Oryctolagus cuniculus: one gene and its partners. The protein of the gene in region 1 binds, or shares a complex with, the protein of each later gene. Links are inferred from orthologs where the notes say so. Each region holds a gene or a part of one and is shown on either strand. Other genes may lie near its edges.

Evidence for each region.
Region 2: the proteins of PLXNB1 (region 1) and ARHGEF12 are in contact, whole or in part, in an NMR structure (PDB 2OS6), measured with the Homo sapiens proteins. The link is inferred for Oryctolagus cuniculus from reciprocal best matches to the Homo sapiens genes PLXNB1 and ARHGEF12. Residues at the interface, in NP_001123554.1 of Homo sapiens: Glu2129, Lys2131, Val2132, Thr2133, Asp2134, Leu2135; in NP_056128.1 of Homo sapiens: Phe82, Gly83, Leu84, Thr85, Val86, Ser87, Gly88, Asp89, His127, Val131, Lys135.
Region 3: the proteins of PLXNB1 (region 1) and SEMA4D are in contact, whole or in part, in a crystal structure (PDB 3OL2), measured with the Homo sapiens proteins. The link is inferred for Oryctolagus cuniculus from reciprocal best matches to the Homo sapiens genes PLXNB1 and SEMA4D. Residues at the interface, in NP_001123554.1 of Homo sapiens: Leu80, Pro81, Pro82, Glu87, Arg136, Pro137, Gly138, Asp139, Thr140, Tyr142, Gly178, Glu202, Lys205, Ala207, Gly209, Arg210, Ser212, Glu213, Arg235, Arg242, Asp359, Val360, Asn361, Ser362, Leu367, Pro368, Thr371, Tyr375, Ser379, Asp380; in NP_001358123.1 of Homo sapiens: Glu99, Lys100, Gly101, Phe158, Tyr179, Phe181, Leu182, Gly183, Ser184, Arg198, Tyr201, Ile203, Glu208, Val240, Leu264, Arg265, Thr266, Leu267, Gln268, Lys270, Thr347, Gln350, Ser351, His352, Thr353, Asp388, Gln392, Lys395.

The regions. Positions count from the first base shown.
Region 1 is NC_091441.1:100,625,819-100,630,208, forward strand, and holds the start of PLXNB1 (plexin-B1), read left to right. Parts: upstream 1-1,556; 5' UTR 1,557-1,707; intron 1,708-1,881; exon of another isoform or gene 1,882-2,090; intron 2,091-2,121; exon of another isoform or gene 2,122-2,196; intron 2,197-2,297; exon of another isoform or gene 2,298-2,396; intron 2,397-2,448; exon of another isoform or gene 2,449-2,586; intron 2,587-2,882; exon of another isoform or gene 2,883-3,060; intron 3,061-3,176; exon of another isoform or gene 3,177-3,664; intron 3,665-3,764; exon of another isoform or gene 3,765-3,857; intron 3,858-4,390. Other genes in the region: CCDC51 (mitochondrial potassium channel), read left to right, coding at 1-230. UniProt on the Homo sapiens protein: Receptor for SEMA4D. Plays a role in GABAergic synapse development. Mediates SEMA4A- and SEMA4D-dependent inhibitory synapse development. Plays a role in RHOA activation and subsequent changes of the actin cytoskeleton.
Region 2 is NC_091432.1:112,821,258-112,825,375, reverse strand, and holds the start of ARHGEF12 (rho guanine nucleotide exchange factor 12), read right to left. Parts: upstream 2,835-4,118; 5' UTR 2,741-2,834; coding exon 2,709-2,740; intron 1-2,708. UniProt on the Homo sapiens protein: May play a role in the regulation of RhoA GTPase by guanine nucleotide-binding alpha-12 (GNA12) and alpha-13 (GNA13). Acts as guanine nucleotide exchange factor (GEF) for RhoA GTPase and may act as GTPase-activating protein (GAP) for GNA12 and GNA13.
Region 3 is NC_091432.1:138,252,961-138,257,185, forward strand, and holds the start of SEMA4D (semaphorin-4D), read right to left. Parts: upstream 2,905-4,225; 5' UTR 2,688-2,904; intron 1-2,687. UniProt on the Homo sapiens protein: Cell surface receptor for PLXNB1 and PLXNB2 that plays an important role in cell-cell signaling. Regulates GABAergic synapse development. Promotes the development of inhibitory synapses in a PLXNB1-dependent manner.

The DNA of each region.
Region 1 (4,390 bases):
GGGTGGTGCAGCTTGCAAAGACAGCAGCACACCCAGGCCCGGAGGAGCCAGCAGACAGGGCTCTGCCCAGCTCCTTGCTAGAGCAGGGGGCTGTGATCTTGGCACTGTCGGACATGGAACAGAGGCTTGAGGCCCAAGCCAACAGGAACACCGTCTACAGCACGCTGGTCACCTGTGTGACGTTTGTGGCCACCCTGCCTGTGCTCTACATGCTGTTCAAGGCCAGCTAGCCCAGAGCCCCCTCCAGCGAGTCCCAAGCGCTCGATGTGGGTGAGGATTTAGTCGGTGAATCCCAGCAGCGAAGTCAGCCTTCGGAGATGCACACGACCTCGGCCTGAGCCGCTGCACCTTCAGGCACACTTTGCGTTGTAGGCAGTGTTTTACATGAATTATCAAAACGCTGCGCTAATGTCCAATTAAAATATCTTCCAAGTTTGTTTTATGTAAAAAAATGTACAGAGACTGAATTTCGTGCATTGAGAGCTGAGATCCGGGACTCGAGGGTCGGGCCCCTTCCGTTCCTGCCTCCCCGTGGTCCTCTGTCAGGGCCGCCCTGGACACACTTGCTCCTGAGGCCTGGTTTTCTGGATTTCCTGGCCCTGTCCTCTGCTTGCCTGACCTGCCCATGTCAGGTGGCCTGGAGGCTCTGGTCAGTGCAACCTTACCTGCTTGTGAGTCAGCCCACTTACGTCACTTCCGGATCACAGGGGAGAATTTGGCTGTAGAGCTGGAAGAATGATCTGAGGAGAGGTGGGAAGAAAGCTTGGGGACGTCGTCACAGGAATGGTGGCCAACCTGGGTCCCCAGTGCAGCGAGGGCTTCGGGCAGTGCTGCTGTGCTGGGGCTGGGTATGCCGAGCTTGGGATGACCTTGACAGGTGTGGGCAGAGCTCAGGCCACCAGCAGTGTGAACGCACAGGAAGTGATGGGGAGGGGCCCCCGCCCCCCCATAGGGGCATGGAGGCAGAGTGCCCTTAGAACTCCTGATCTCTGTGATCCTTGACCTCCCGGGCTAAATGGCCGTGGGTGGCCTTCTGTAAACAGGGAGCTTGGGGGATGCTGTGTACTCACAATGGAGCCTAGTGGAGAGCCCACCCTCCCTGTAGAACACACCCAGCTCTTTGCAGGGTCTGTGGGTAGCGGTTTGTTCATCGGTGCCTGCACAGCTGACTGAGCAGAGGCCCAGTAGAACCAGGAGTATCTCCTGTGAGGCACCCTTCCTACCTTCCTGGAGCCTGGCTCAGCCTGGGCTGTGAGTGTGGCCCAAATGGCCGCATTCTGGCCCCTCCATCCAGAATGACCTGGGATCCTGGTGCGGCAGGAGGTGCCATGACTGTGAGCAGATGAGGGGAGCAGTGGGGTTCACAAGAACCAGGTTCCCTTCTGGGAAGAGGCAGATCCTGAAAGATGTTTGAGTGAGTAGCTTTGGGGAGGAAAGGCCCCTGGACACGTGGAAGGGGCTAGCGCAAGCTGCAGAAGCAGGAAAGCCAAGGTAGGCAGCTGAGGGAGGGATTCTCCTGACAGGCGGTGCTCCGGATGGGGTGGGGCTTGTGGAGCACACCGTCAGAGAGCAAGGTGAAAGACCTGTGCCAAGCCGCCGCTGTAGACCAAGTGCTCCGTGTCTGGAACTCAAGCGCTGGAATCCAAGTGGAGGAAGAGGGTTCACCTGAAGAGTTGGGGAGGGAGAATTCGGAAGGCACAGAGCCTGGTAGATGAGAGGGACTGCGGGGAAGCCCTCGAGGAGGTGGGGGGTGGGAGGAGGGTGTCTGTGACCCTGGCTGTCAGGGCAGTAGCTGGGGTGGACGACCTGCACCTCCAGGTTGAAGCTTCCAAGTGATGTGTGTGCCTGTGCGTGTGTGTGAGAGACAGTTTTGTTTCCCAGGAGGCTGTGCCAATGGCCTCGAGCCAGAACTCTCCAGAAGTTCTAACAGGATGGGCTAGGTCCTGGCTCCCGTTGCTGTGGATGGGAAGGGACAAACAGGCCTCAGGAGAGAACCCTCCTGCCCAGCGTTTCCTCCTGCGAAGGCCCAGGAGTCCGCCAGTGAGGCAGTCTAGACTTGCCCAAGGCTTCTCAGCTTGGGGTGGTTCCAGGTAGGGGCCTGGGACGGAGAGGAGGGCGGGGCGCCCATGCTGGTGCACCTCGGCCCGGTGTGCCAGCTTCAGCGGCCGGGCGAGGGGGGTTCACCCCCACTTGCTGGTGAGCAAATAGGTTGAGGGGGGGCGGGTGTCAGGTTACAGGGCTTAGCGATGGCGCAAACCCAGGTCCAAAGCCCGAGCTCTGCTCTCAAACAGCGCAAGGTGGGGGCGGAGGGAGGGGCTGGCTGGTGGGGAGTCCCGGGAGAAGGAGCGGTGGGCAGGACCAGGTGCGCAGGGGAGAAACGAGGCGCCTTAGTTCAGGTAAGGGAAGTTGAGGGAGAACGTCCACAGGAGCCCGTCCTGGAAGGGAGAGCGGGCGGGATGGTGGCGGAGGCGGCCAACGAACAGACGGGCCAGGTGAGGCGCGGGACCCGACTCCGGCGAGGCGAGAGAGGCCCGGCCGCTCCCCTCCCGGGAGGGCTCCCAGTTCCAGTTCCAAAGCAGCGCGCAGGTGAGGCCCCGCGGGGGCGGGGCGGAGCAGTGTTGCCATGGCTACCGCCGCCGGGCAGCCCCTGAGCCCCCTCCCTATGCGGGAGGGGCTGTGCACCCCCGCACTTGGCGGGCGCGGAGGCCGCGCGGCCGGAATGCGGGGTCCCGGGCAGTCCGGGGCCGTGCGCCCCGCTCTCCCGGCTGCTTCCGGCCTGGCCCCGGCGGCGGGCGGGGGGAGGGCGGCCCGGCGGGTGGGGGTGGGGGGGGAAGGAGCGGAGCCGGGCCCGGCCGACGCGGCTTTGTCTCCTTTGTTCCCAGCGGTGGCAGCGCTGCGGCGGGAGGGGCGGGCAGCGGGCGCAGTTTTCCGCCCCTCGGTCTCCGGGTAACAGCTGCGGCTCCGCCAGACCCACCTCCGGGGCAGGCCGCCGCGCACACAGCCGCGTCCCGAGCGGCCGGCGCCCCCTCGGCGCGCACATCCCGCGCGGCCGGCCGGGCGGTGAGTGCCGGGCGCGGGGCCGGGGCGGCGGGGCCCCGGCGAGGCCGCGCGCCCCGAGGCGGAGCGGTCTGGGGCCGGGATCCGGCCGGGCAGGGGCGGCCTGGGGAGTGGTGGGCGGCTTCGGCGCCGAGAGTTGGGACCACGCTTCTCCGCGCGGAGGGAAACTCTGGCGGCGCCGCCTGTAACGCGATTGGGAGACAGAGGAGGTGGAGCTGCTCCTCCGCGCCCCCTCCTCGTCGCCGCCGCCGCGCCGGGGACCGACCGGCCCCTTCCCCGCCCTCCCGGGGCCACGGGTGGGGTCCTCGCCCCGCGACCTGGTCGGGGAGGGGGGAGGGCCGCGGCGCCCCCTTGAGAGTAACAGCCTTTGCAGGTGCGCTCGCGGGACTGACAAAGGCGGACCCCGAGCCTCCAGGCTTGAGGGCGCGTCCCGCTCCACACTTCGGGTGCGTGATGGTGAGCACCGCGGGGCATCTTGGAATCCCGCCGGCGGTGGCTCTCCCACCCGCGGCAACACACGGCGGACAGGGTGGGCAGTGCGCACGGCCGCACCGTCAATGAATGGAGCAGGGGGCGGAGAGGGAGTCCTGTTCCCACGGACCCCCAGGTAAATGTGCAGGTGTGGAGTGTGGAACGGCTGGGCCGTGAGCCTCGTTGGTAGGTGAGGACAGCTCCACGAGGTTTCAGGAAGTGCTTGCTTTCTACAGGCGGCCATGGGCCCTGCTGAGGAGGTGCAGAGAGAGGTGGGCCCAGAAGAGGCCCACCAGGCACGCTTGGGCATGGGCAGTGAGGCCTTGGCGGTGAGCCTGGACAGAGCCCCAGAGGTGGGGAGTGGGAGGAGATCTGACGGTGCAAGTCGGGGACAGGAGGCTGGCTCCAAATCAGCATATCGGCCTTTCCAGTCTGCTGGGGTCAGCCATTAATAAGAGGGGGGCCTGCTGCCTTGCCCGAGGAGATACCAAGTGGCTTGGAGAGTGGGCAGGGGGCATGGTCTCCCCTAGCAGCGGGGTTCCCTTTACCACCACACAGAGAGCACCTGCTCTTTTGCCGTCTGTGAGCTGGAGCCACACTCCCTGCCTTTGAGGAGCTTCAAGTCCAGAGCTGGGGGAGGGGGGCACATCAGCCTCAGCTCTTCCATCCCCTGCTGCCCGGAGTGACCTCCTCAGCACCCTGGCAGGATGGCTGGGTGTGGGAGTTAATGGGCTAGAGAGGGAGTGGGCATTCCAGGCAGCAGGACAGCCGCGTGACTTGACAGCAGAGGAGCGAACCGCTGTCTGTCGTTCAGGCATCAGGAACGAAGAGCATGTGGGGGGCGGGGGGCTAGAGGGCCTTG
Region 2 (4,118 bases), on another chromosome or scaffold:
TTCAAGTGCTCATTCTTAAATGCTGAAAACCACAGTCTCTTGGTCTCACAGAAGTTACAAAGAGACTGAAAGGTATTCATTTCATTAACTGCTTAGATTTTTCTAATACCTGTTCAAAGATATCATATAAAAACAATAGCTACCACGAACAGAGTCTGAGTTTTAAATTTTAAAAGAGTTTTAATTTTAAATCTTAGAAAGGCGGCGGGAGCTGGGGAATAGACGATAAAAACAAGAGAAGGGAACAAATTTATGTGCAAAATAATGACAGGATATAACAGAGTTCTGAGTATCTGAAGTAACCAATCAGAGCCTGAACATAGCTGAATTCCAACCCAGCCCCAGCACGTCCCTAACACAAGAATAAAACCCTTCTTATCTTGTTCAGCCATGTGTCGCCTGCCACAAACTGCAAAACAGAACAACGCCCAAAACCAGCCAGTCTGATTTCAACCGAGGACAGACAGACTCTGTAGCCAGAAGCTCCGCAGTGAAAGAACTCGAACTCCCACAGCTGGCGTGGTGGTTCTGCACACTCTACAAAACAAAGCCATACCACAGCCAGTACTCCAAACTTGAAAGGATCTCGAAAAAGCCACACTGGCACTCTTAATTGGCCAATAGTTCTAGAATCAGCAAAACAAACCCATCTAGTACCCTAGGGTTGGACAAGGGGGAAAAAAGGATGAGTAGGGAGGCTGACAGGAAGCTGGAAATTATTCTGTACTCATAACTTTGTTAAGGCACCCGGACAGATTTCACCCCAATATATATGCAAATCAGGAATAACTACTCCCTTAAAGGTAAATGGATGCTTTCTATTTATAAAATAAGACGTTGAAAAAAAACTAGTGGTCATCTAACAATTCACATTAAAAAATAAGACAACAGTCTCAGCAGTGTTTATTAAATTAGGCAAGACTGCACAGTTCTTTTTTTTTTTGCTTGTAAAGACCTATGTAAAATCAGGCAGCACCTGCACCAGGTCGAGAGTATGAACGCCGACACCAATATTCACACATTCATTCTGTCCACCTTTTGTGCCTAGCACAGTGCATGTCAAAGAACAGGCTTTCAATAACTGCAGGCTTCTTGAATGGCGATATGCCGTTTAAGTTATAAAAAGTATAAAAAGTACACAAATTCTAAGATTGTATTTCCAAGATAACTGAAAGAAAAATCCCTGAAAAGCAAAGCTGGGGCTTTTTAGTGATTTCTGTGGGGATGAGTTGGTGACCCCAAGTTCTGTTTCTGCAACAGCACCCAAGCATTACAAGGAAAACCAATACCACATTAGCGTCTAGTAAGACTTCTTGTCTATGTGCTCAACAAAAAGATAAGATTCGAATGAATCAGGGAAACAATTATCCACATGCTGGTGAAAAACAGTTTCTCAGGAGCAAGACTCCCAGAAAAGAAAAGGAATGGGGTTAACTAAAATAGCATCATCACTATTCATGTTAAGTATATTCTCAGAAAAATTAAACATTATCTCACTGAAAATGAAAACTCATTTAATAAAAAACACAAAGGATAAACATAAATAGCTTAATTATTTAATGGAATCTTTTAGGTGAACATTCATGTGACACTGGAAAGCATCAACAGGAAGAGGAAGTTCTGTTTCTGGAGTGGCTGTTATGGTATGATAATGGAATTTGGCTCTTTCAGAATCAACAAATGAGCTTTACAATTGGGTAAAACTCTCTTATTAGCAAATTAATCTACTTTCTGCAGAACCACTATTGTTGCACTTTTCAACAAAGAGCTCTGGACTGAAAATTGAGTATTTATTTTTTCAGATGTAGTAGTGTGAAGCTTGACTTAATAAACAGATTGAAATCTGAGACTATCAAACATACACAGCATTTTGCCATAATTAAAGTGAGAAATAAAATGGGGTTAAGAAATTCAATCATGTAACCTAGTCAAAAGAATAACGTTTGGGAATAAGGGAACTCTACTTCAACCACGTATAGTCCAGCTCAAATCGCCGCACTCCACGCAACAATTATAAATACTTGTAAAGGGTACACAGACGTCAACACATCCACCTGCCATGCTTGCACTATGCTTAGGGTTTACACCCCTTAACCAAGTGTTTCTGGAAGATGGAATATTAAAATACAATAACTGAAAGCAAGCCCTGGGAGTTTCCTCATTTCCTCCAGCTCCTGCATACTGCCTCGCGCGAGAGCCATGTCAACATTCTGGAAAATTATTAGATAATTAAACACTGGAGGGGTCAACACCTAAAAGAGACCAAGTCCACGAATCACCAGGCAGGAGGCTGAAGATTCAGTTCCCGGACAGAAATCGCTAAAATGTAAGGGGTTCCGAGAACTTGCACAGGGCAGGAGTCAAACTGACGATGCACCAACACCCAGCCGTCTTCTGGCGCTGACCTTCACCTAACGTGACCTTCCTCTGGTTCCAAAGATGAGAACAGACTCCAAACGCACACCCCAGCCAGAACCACAGACAAAAACCCCACGCTCGTGGTGGGGCGCACCCCTTCTCGCCAGAAAGACCGTGTTTCCAACCAACCGACCCCTCGGCAGCCACCCTCCGCTAACTGCCCGGCTCCCAAACAGCCCTCTCTCCTGTGCCTGTCAACTCCGCGGGCCAAAGGCGGCGTGCAGGACCGGCTGTCGCCGGGCCGGCCGGCCGGACGCGGGCGGGCTAGGGGAGGAGGGCTTCATACGAACCTGTCGGTGATAGTAGACTGTGTGCCACTCATTGGGGCCCTTGGCGAGAGGTCCTCCTTTCATCCAACTTGCATTTTACAGTAACACCTCCACCCCACCCCCAGTGCTCTGGGATCAGGCCCAACTCCGTCGGGGACACAAAAGTCCAACTCAACACTCCATGCAGTCATCTAGAACATCCGATTGGAAGGGGTCAAGCAAAGGGGATGCGGGCTGGAGCAAAGTTATCATCCAAAACAAAACCAACAAAGTCAGCCGGCAGGCGAGTCCCGGCGCCTGCGACAAATCCTGCAGGAGGCACAGCGAGAGAACTCCGTGGCCCAGGGAAGTCCGCGCGCCGTGGGAAGGGGACCCGGACTCCCGCCGGGGCCGCGGCCGGGGCCGGGGCGGGATCGGCTCCTCCTCCGGAGTCTCGGGGCCGTCAACTCCGTCCGCACCCGCACGGCCGAGCCCTCGCGTCCCCGCTCTCTAACTGGGGCTGCCGGTCGCGCGTGGCCGCAGCCTCGGCCGCGTCTCGGGCCGTCCCGCGCCGAGCTCGCGCGGCCCCATGTCCCCCGGCCCGGGGACCCCTCGCGTCTTCCTCGCCGCCCCCACCAGGCTCCGGGGCACCGGGACGAGCCGCGGGCGCCGGCGGAAAAGGAGTCCCGCGACCTGAAGTGACAGGGACCGGGGTCTCTCAGGGCCGCGGGCTGCTCCCCATCCCTTTGAGGCCCGGACTCTTCCGCAGTCAGCACGGGCGGCGGCGGCGGCTCCTCCCCGACGCTCCGGTAGGCGGCGGTTCCCGCGGGGGGGGCGGGAGGCTCCCGTCCGGCCCGGCCTGGTGGAAGCCTCGGCACGGGAGGCGACGGGCGGCGGCGGCGGCGGCGGCGGCGACTCCCCGCGCGGAACCGGCTCGCCGGGTGCTGGGGGCCCTCGCGGGAGCGCGCGCAGAAGGCGGAGGCGGCCGCCGGCGGTGGGGCGGAGGTGGGGGGAGCGACCGACGACCGCGGGCGCGCGCGCGGGTTCCGGTTCCGGTTCTGTCTTCCCGGTCGCGTCCAGCGCGAGCTCGTGCTTCCCCTCCCCCGCCGACTTTTTTGGCCTCCTCCCCTCTGACTTCGGGAAGCCGCCTCACCCGGGAATCCCTCCGCCGGGCCGCATCGCGCAGCGCCGGCCGCCCGCGCCCGCCCTTCGCTTGCGCCGCCCCCGCGCGGACGCCTCCGCCTCGGCCTCGCTTGGGGGGAGCAGAAAAGTAGTCCCGCGGGGGCAAAGGCGGCACCTCCAGGCTCGCCGCTGGCCCTGGAGCCGGAGAGTGTGGGAGAGGGTCGCTTAGGGGTGCTGCTCGCGCTGTCAGTGTTAGCCACAGGTGTCCAGAGAGCCCGCCCTGACCCCGCCAACTTCAGGAGGGGACGCACCCCTCGTCCTGGAAACTTT
Region 3 (4,225 bases), on another chromosome or scaffold:
TACAGGCAGAGGCATCTGAGACAGGCCAAACAGGACCCCAGGGACCCTGCCCCCAGGTGCCTATGAGCCCATCAGTGTCTCAGGAGTGGAAGCAGGGGCGCAGGCAGCAGGGAGTGCCCAGGTCACGGGCAACCTGCTCATCCCAAAGATTACCTGACAAACCCCACCCAGCTCCAGCCCAGGCCCAGGGCTCACGGGTGCTACCTTCCCAACGCATCTCTGCTCACCCATGCCACCTCTCCATGACAGAATTGCACAGAGGCCCCAGCAAACCTCTCCCTGCAGGTGCACGGGAGCTGCCGGACCAGCCACGCTCCGGGGCGACGCCCTGGGGATCCCGGGACACAGGTGGCGCTGCCGGAACTACACTTGCTCAGCCCAGTAGACAAGGCCATGGGGACCGAGGACGAGATCTCCCCCAGCACCGCTGTCCAGCCTCTGGCCTCCTCCTCCTCTTGCTGGGATCATCCAATTCCACGAGAAGTGACGGCCCCCAGCTGGGGCTGCAGCCAGCACCCTCCTCCCAGGGGCTGCACCCAAACTCAGCAGAGTGCACGCTCGGGTTTAATCCTCACATGGTCTCCCACCCCCCCACCTGGGTGGGGTCACAGATCACGACTGTCACTTCCAGAAGAGCCTAGGAGCGGGGTGGGGGGGGGGGGCAGGAGTACAGGGAGCCCATGCCACCTCCTCCAGCTCCAGAGTCCTTTGAACCAAGCACATTCCTACACGAAGGGAAGGTGTATTACAAAGCAACCAGGAAGCAGATCCTCTCCCCAGGCCTGCTTGGGCGCAGCAGACCCACGGCCTGGTCTGGGGACAGTGGAGATATATGCCCCTCCCCCACAAGAGGTCCCAGCCACACCCAACAGGAAGAGACCCCCAGCAACCACTCTCCCTCTGGGCCCCACCCATCCCCCCTGAGCAGGCGCCCTCAAGAAGCACATCGGATGACGAAGACCATTGATTTCTGCAATGCATTATTGATCGCGCTGGCCCCAGCAGGCGCCCCCTCGCAGCTCCTTCCAAGCCAGTCATTAGCGCATTCCCCAGGACCGGCCCACACCCCCCAGGCCCAGTGCAGGGAAGACAGCACCATTTAGCATCTGCCGCCGACAATCTACCTGCAAGAGACGGTCCACAAGTGGATGGTGTCATCAAGGACACCCTACAGGACAGCTTCTAGTGCAACACGGCCGCTGGGCTTTGCACCCAAACCTTAGCCAAGGGCGGGCCACTCTGGGAGGGGTCTCTGGTAGCCTGGGTGCCACACAGGAGCCAGAGCTGGAGGACTTCAATGGCTCTGTTTCAGAGTGCAGACAGACAGACGAGCACCTCGAGGGGAGACAGCCCCAGACCCCCATGCCAGCACTGGGTCTGGCAACGTGGCCATGTGGTCTTGCTTACTTGTGTCATTCTTGACAGGCACTCCCAGTGAGCATGTCCCTAGCCCAGCCCTTCCCCCAGGGGGAGGGAGGAGGCCTGCTTTCTTCTCCTGGTGGGCGATCACCGACACATGGCGTGCACAGACACCAAACGTGCAAGTGACAATCGGAGTAACAGCATCCCCAGCACAACCTGCTCCGGCCCTGCCTGGCCGGCGTTGCTTGTTTCTGGGGCACAGTAAACATTCCCAAATAACCTTCTGGGTAGCCAGCCAGAGGGCAGGCCCCAGGAGGGGGCTGTGGGGGGGGGCACAGGAGGTGACAGGCTGCTGGTGTCACTGCACTCCCCAGAAAGGAAACTTCCATTCAGTGGCGCCCAATGGAGTTGAAAAGGCTTAGAACGGCAGGAGAAGAAAGCTGGCCACAGGCCCCTGGAGCGGCGGCCACCCTGGGGCCTGGGATGTGCAGAGCAGAGGGAGGTTTGCAAGACAAAAGCTGAGCAACTTCTTGCGCCAATCACAGACAGCAGCCCCCACCACAGGCCTCCTGGAACTGCCCACCTCCAGGCTCCCAAATGTTCCCCCCACCCACCCCCCAGAATCCTAAACCAAATCGAGCCAGACGATGGCCGCGGCCTCAACTCTCATTTCCAGGTTTTCACTGGCAAACCCCCAGCGACTCAGCCCCTTGCACTCGCCAGGCGCCTGCAACAGGTGCAGCCCCACGGAGCTAAGGATTCTGGCTCTCCCGAGCGGTTCTACAATAACGCGGCCAAAACCCCCGAAGGAAGCCGAGGCCTGCGGCACCCACCACCAGGCGGGGGCGACCTGCCCCACCTGTCTGAGTGCGCCGCGCCGGGTCCACTCCCAGAGGCCTCGGCCTCGAGACCAAAATGGAAAACAGAAGCCCGCAGGGAGGCTGGGCCCGGACCGGCCGGAGCGGGCCTGACCGGGCGGGCCGGGGCGCGGCGGGGCTTGGGCGAGCGCGCCGCCCCCTCCCCGGTCCGGGTCTGCCGTAAGCCCAGCGCCCCCGCGAGCCACCTGCGCCCCGCGGTCGGGCCGGAACCAGGCAGGGGAGGGGCCGAGCAGGAGGGGGTCGAGGGAGGCGTCCAGGGAAGGGACTGGCCAGGAAGCTCCAGGTGGCGTCCCGGGAGGGGTCCCGGGTGGGGTCCCGGGTGGGGGGTAGCTGCAGGGGTCCGGGGAGGGCCCTGGGGTGCGGCGAGGGGGCTCCACGGAGCGGGGTGGCCGTCCCCCGGCACCTGCCCGCGCCGCGCGCTCCCTTCCACGCGACCCGGCACTTTACCTGAGCGCGCGCCCTGCCCCGGCGGCCCGGCGAGCGGGGCGCCAGGAATGGCGATGGCGGCGGCGGCAGCGGCGGCGGCGGCGGTGGTGGCGGCGGCGGCGGCGGGCGCGGGGCTCGGGGACGAGAGCGCGGGGATGCTGCGGAGCGCGAGGACGCGGAGGCCGGCGCGGGGACGAGGGCGCGGAGCGGCGCGGAGGCCCCTCCCCCGCTCCCTCCCTTCCCGCCTCCTCCTCCGCTCCCCTCCCCCGCGCCTCTTCCCTCCCCTCGGCCCTCCCCTTTCTTCTTCCTCCCTCCTCTCTCCCTTGGTCTAAGGTTCTCCCCTCTCTTTACCTCCCCAGCGCGCCTCTTCTGGCTCCTCGGCCTTCGCCCCCTTCCTCCCTCCTCCTTTCTTACCTCCCTCTCCTAACCCCCACCCCCGGGCTCCTGGACAAGGCCCAGAGGTTGCCCCCTTGCCTCGCCCTGGTTCCCAGGACTGGAAGCCTGACTTCTGACCACCTCCTAATGGACCAGTCTGCCCACTCTGAGAGCCTGGACTGACCATGCTCTTTCCAAGGTCCCCTAAATCTACTGGGGTTCCCGCATCCCTAGCCGGTGGGGCCGACTCTGGGTCCAGGGTCTGCACCTGCTGTGTGTGAAGATCCAGCAGCTCCCAACTTTGGGCGAGAGTATCCTGGGCCAGGCTGTCCTGGTCTCTCGGTGTGCCGTGGGCAGGCACTCCCCACCCCATCCTGGCCTGGCTTGATGCCCTCTCATAGCAACCCTCTGCTGAGTGGTCCTCATTTTCCACACTGGGTGCAAAGACCACCCCGCCCCAGTGGGGCACCTGGTGAGACGCTGTGACTGGCCCAGGTGTGGGGAGTTGGAGGCCACCCCCAGATGGTGCTGCGCCAGCTGCCACCATTCCCTTCTGCAGGACAGAGACACACTTCCGGATTGACCCAGCACGATCCCCAAATGTGAGGCGTCCAGGTGCTCCCTGGCCAGGATAGCTTCATGGGCTACCGCCCTGGCCTTTCAGGGGGCTACTTTGCTCATAATCACAGAGCCACGGTGAGCAGCTCTTCCCTGGGTCAGATAAAGAAAAACCCAAGAGCCAGAGTTCTCTGCAGAGGCCTCCTGCCCATTAGCACCCAGCTTGGAGAGTGGAAGCAGGACCCCACCCAATAAAGGCTGACCTGGCAAAGCTGGGGCCCCAGGATGCTTGCATGGTGGGGCAGGGAGCTCACTCCGCCCCTTCTCTGCTATGTGGGGGCCCTGACCCTCCTGCTGGAACCGGATGGAGTCCAGCTTGACTCTTTTTTTTTTTTTTTTTTTTTTTTTTTGATAGGCAGAGTGGACAGTGAGAGAGAGAGACAGAGAGAAAGGTCTTCCTTTGCCGTTGGTTCACCCTCCAATGGCCGCCACGGCTGGCGCGCTGCGGCCGGCGCACCGCGCTGATCCGAAGGCAGGAGCCAGGTGCTTCTCCTGGTCTCCCACGGGGTGCAGGGCCCAAGCACTTGGGCCATCCTCCACTGCACTCCCTGGCCACAGCAGAGAGC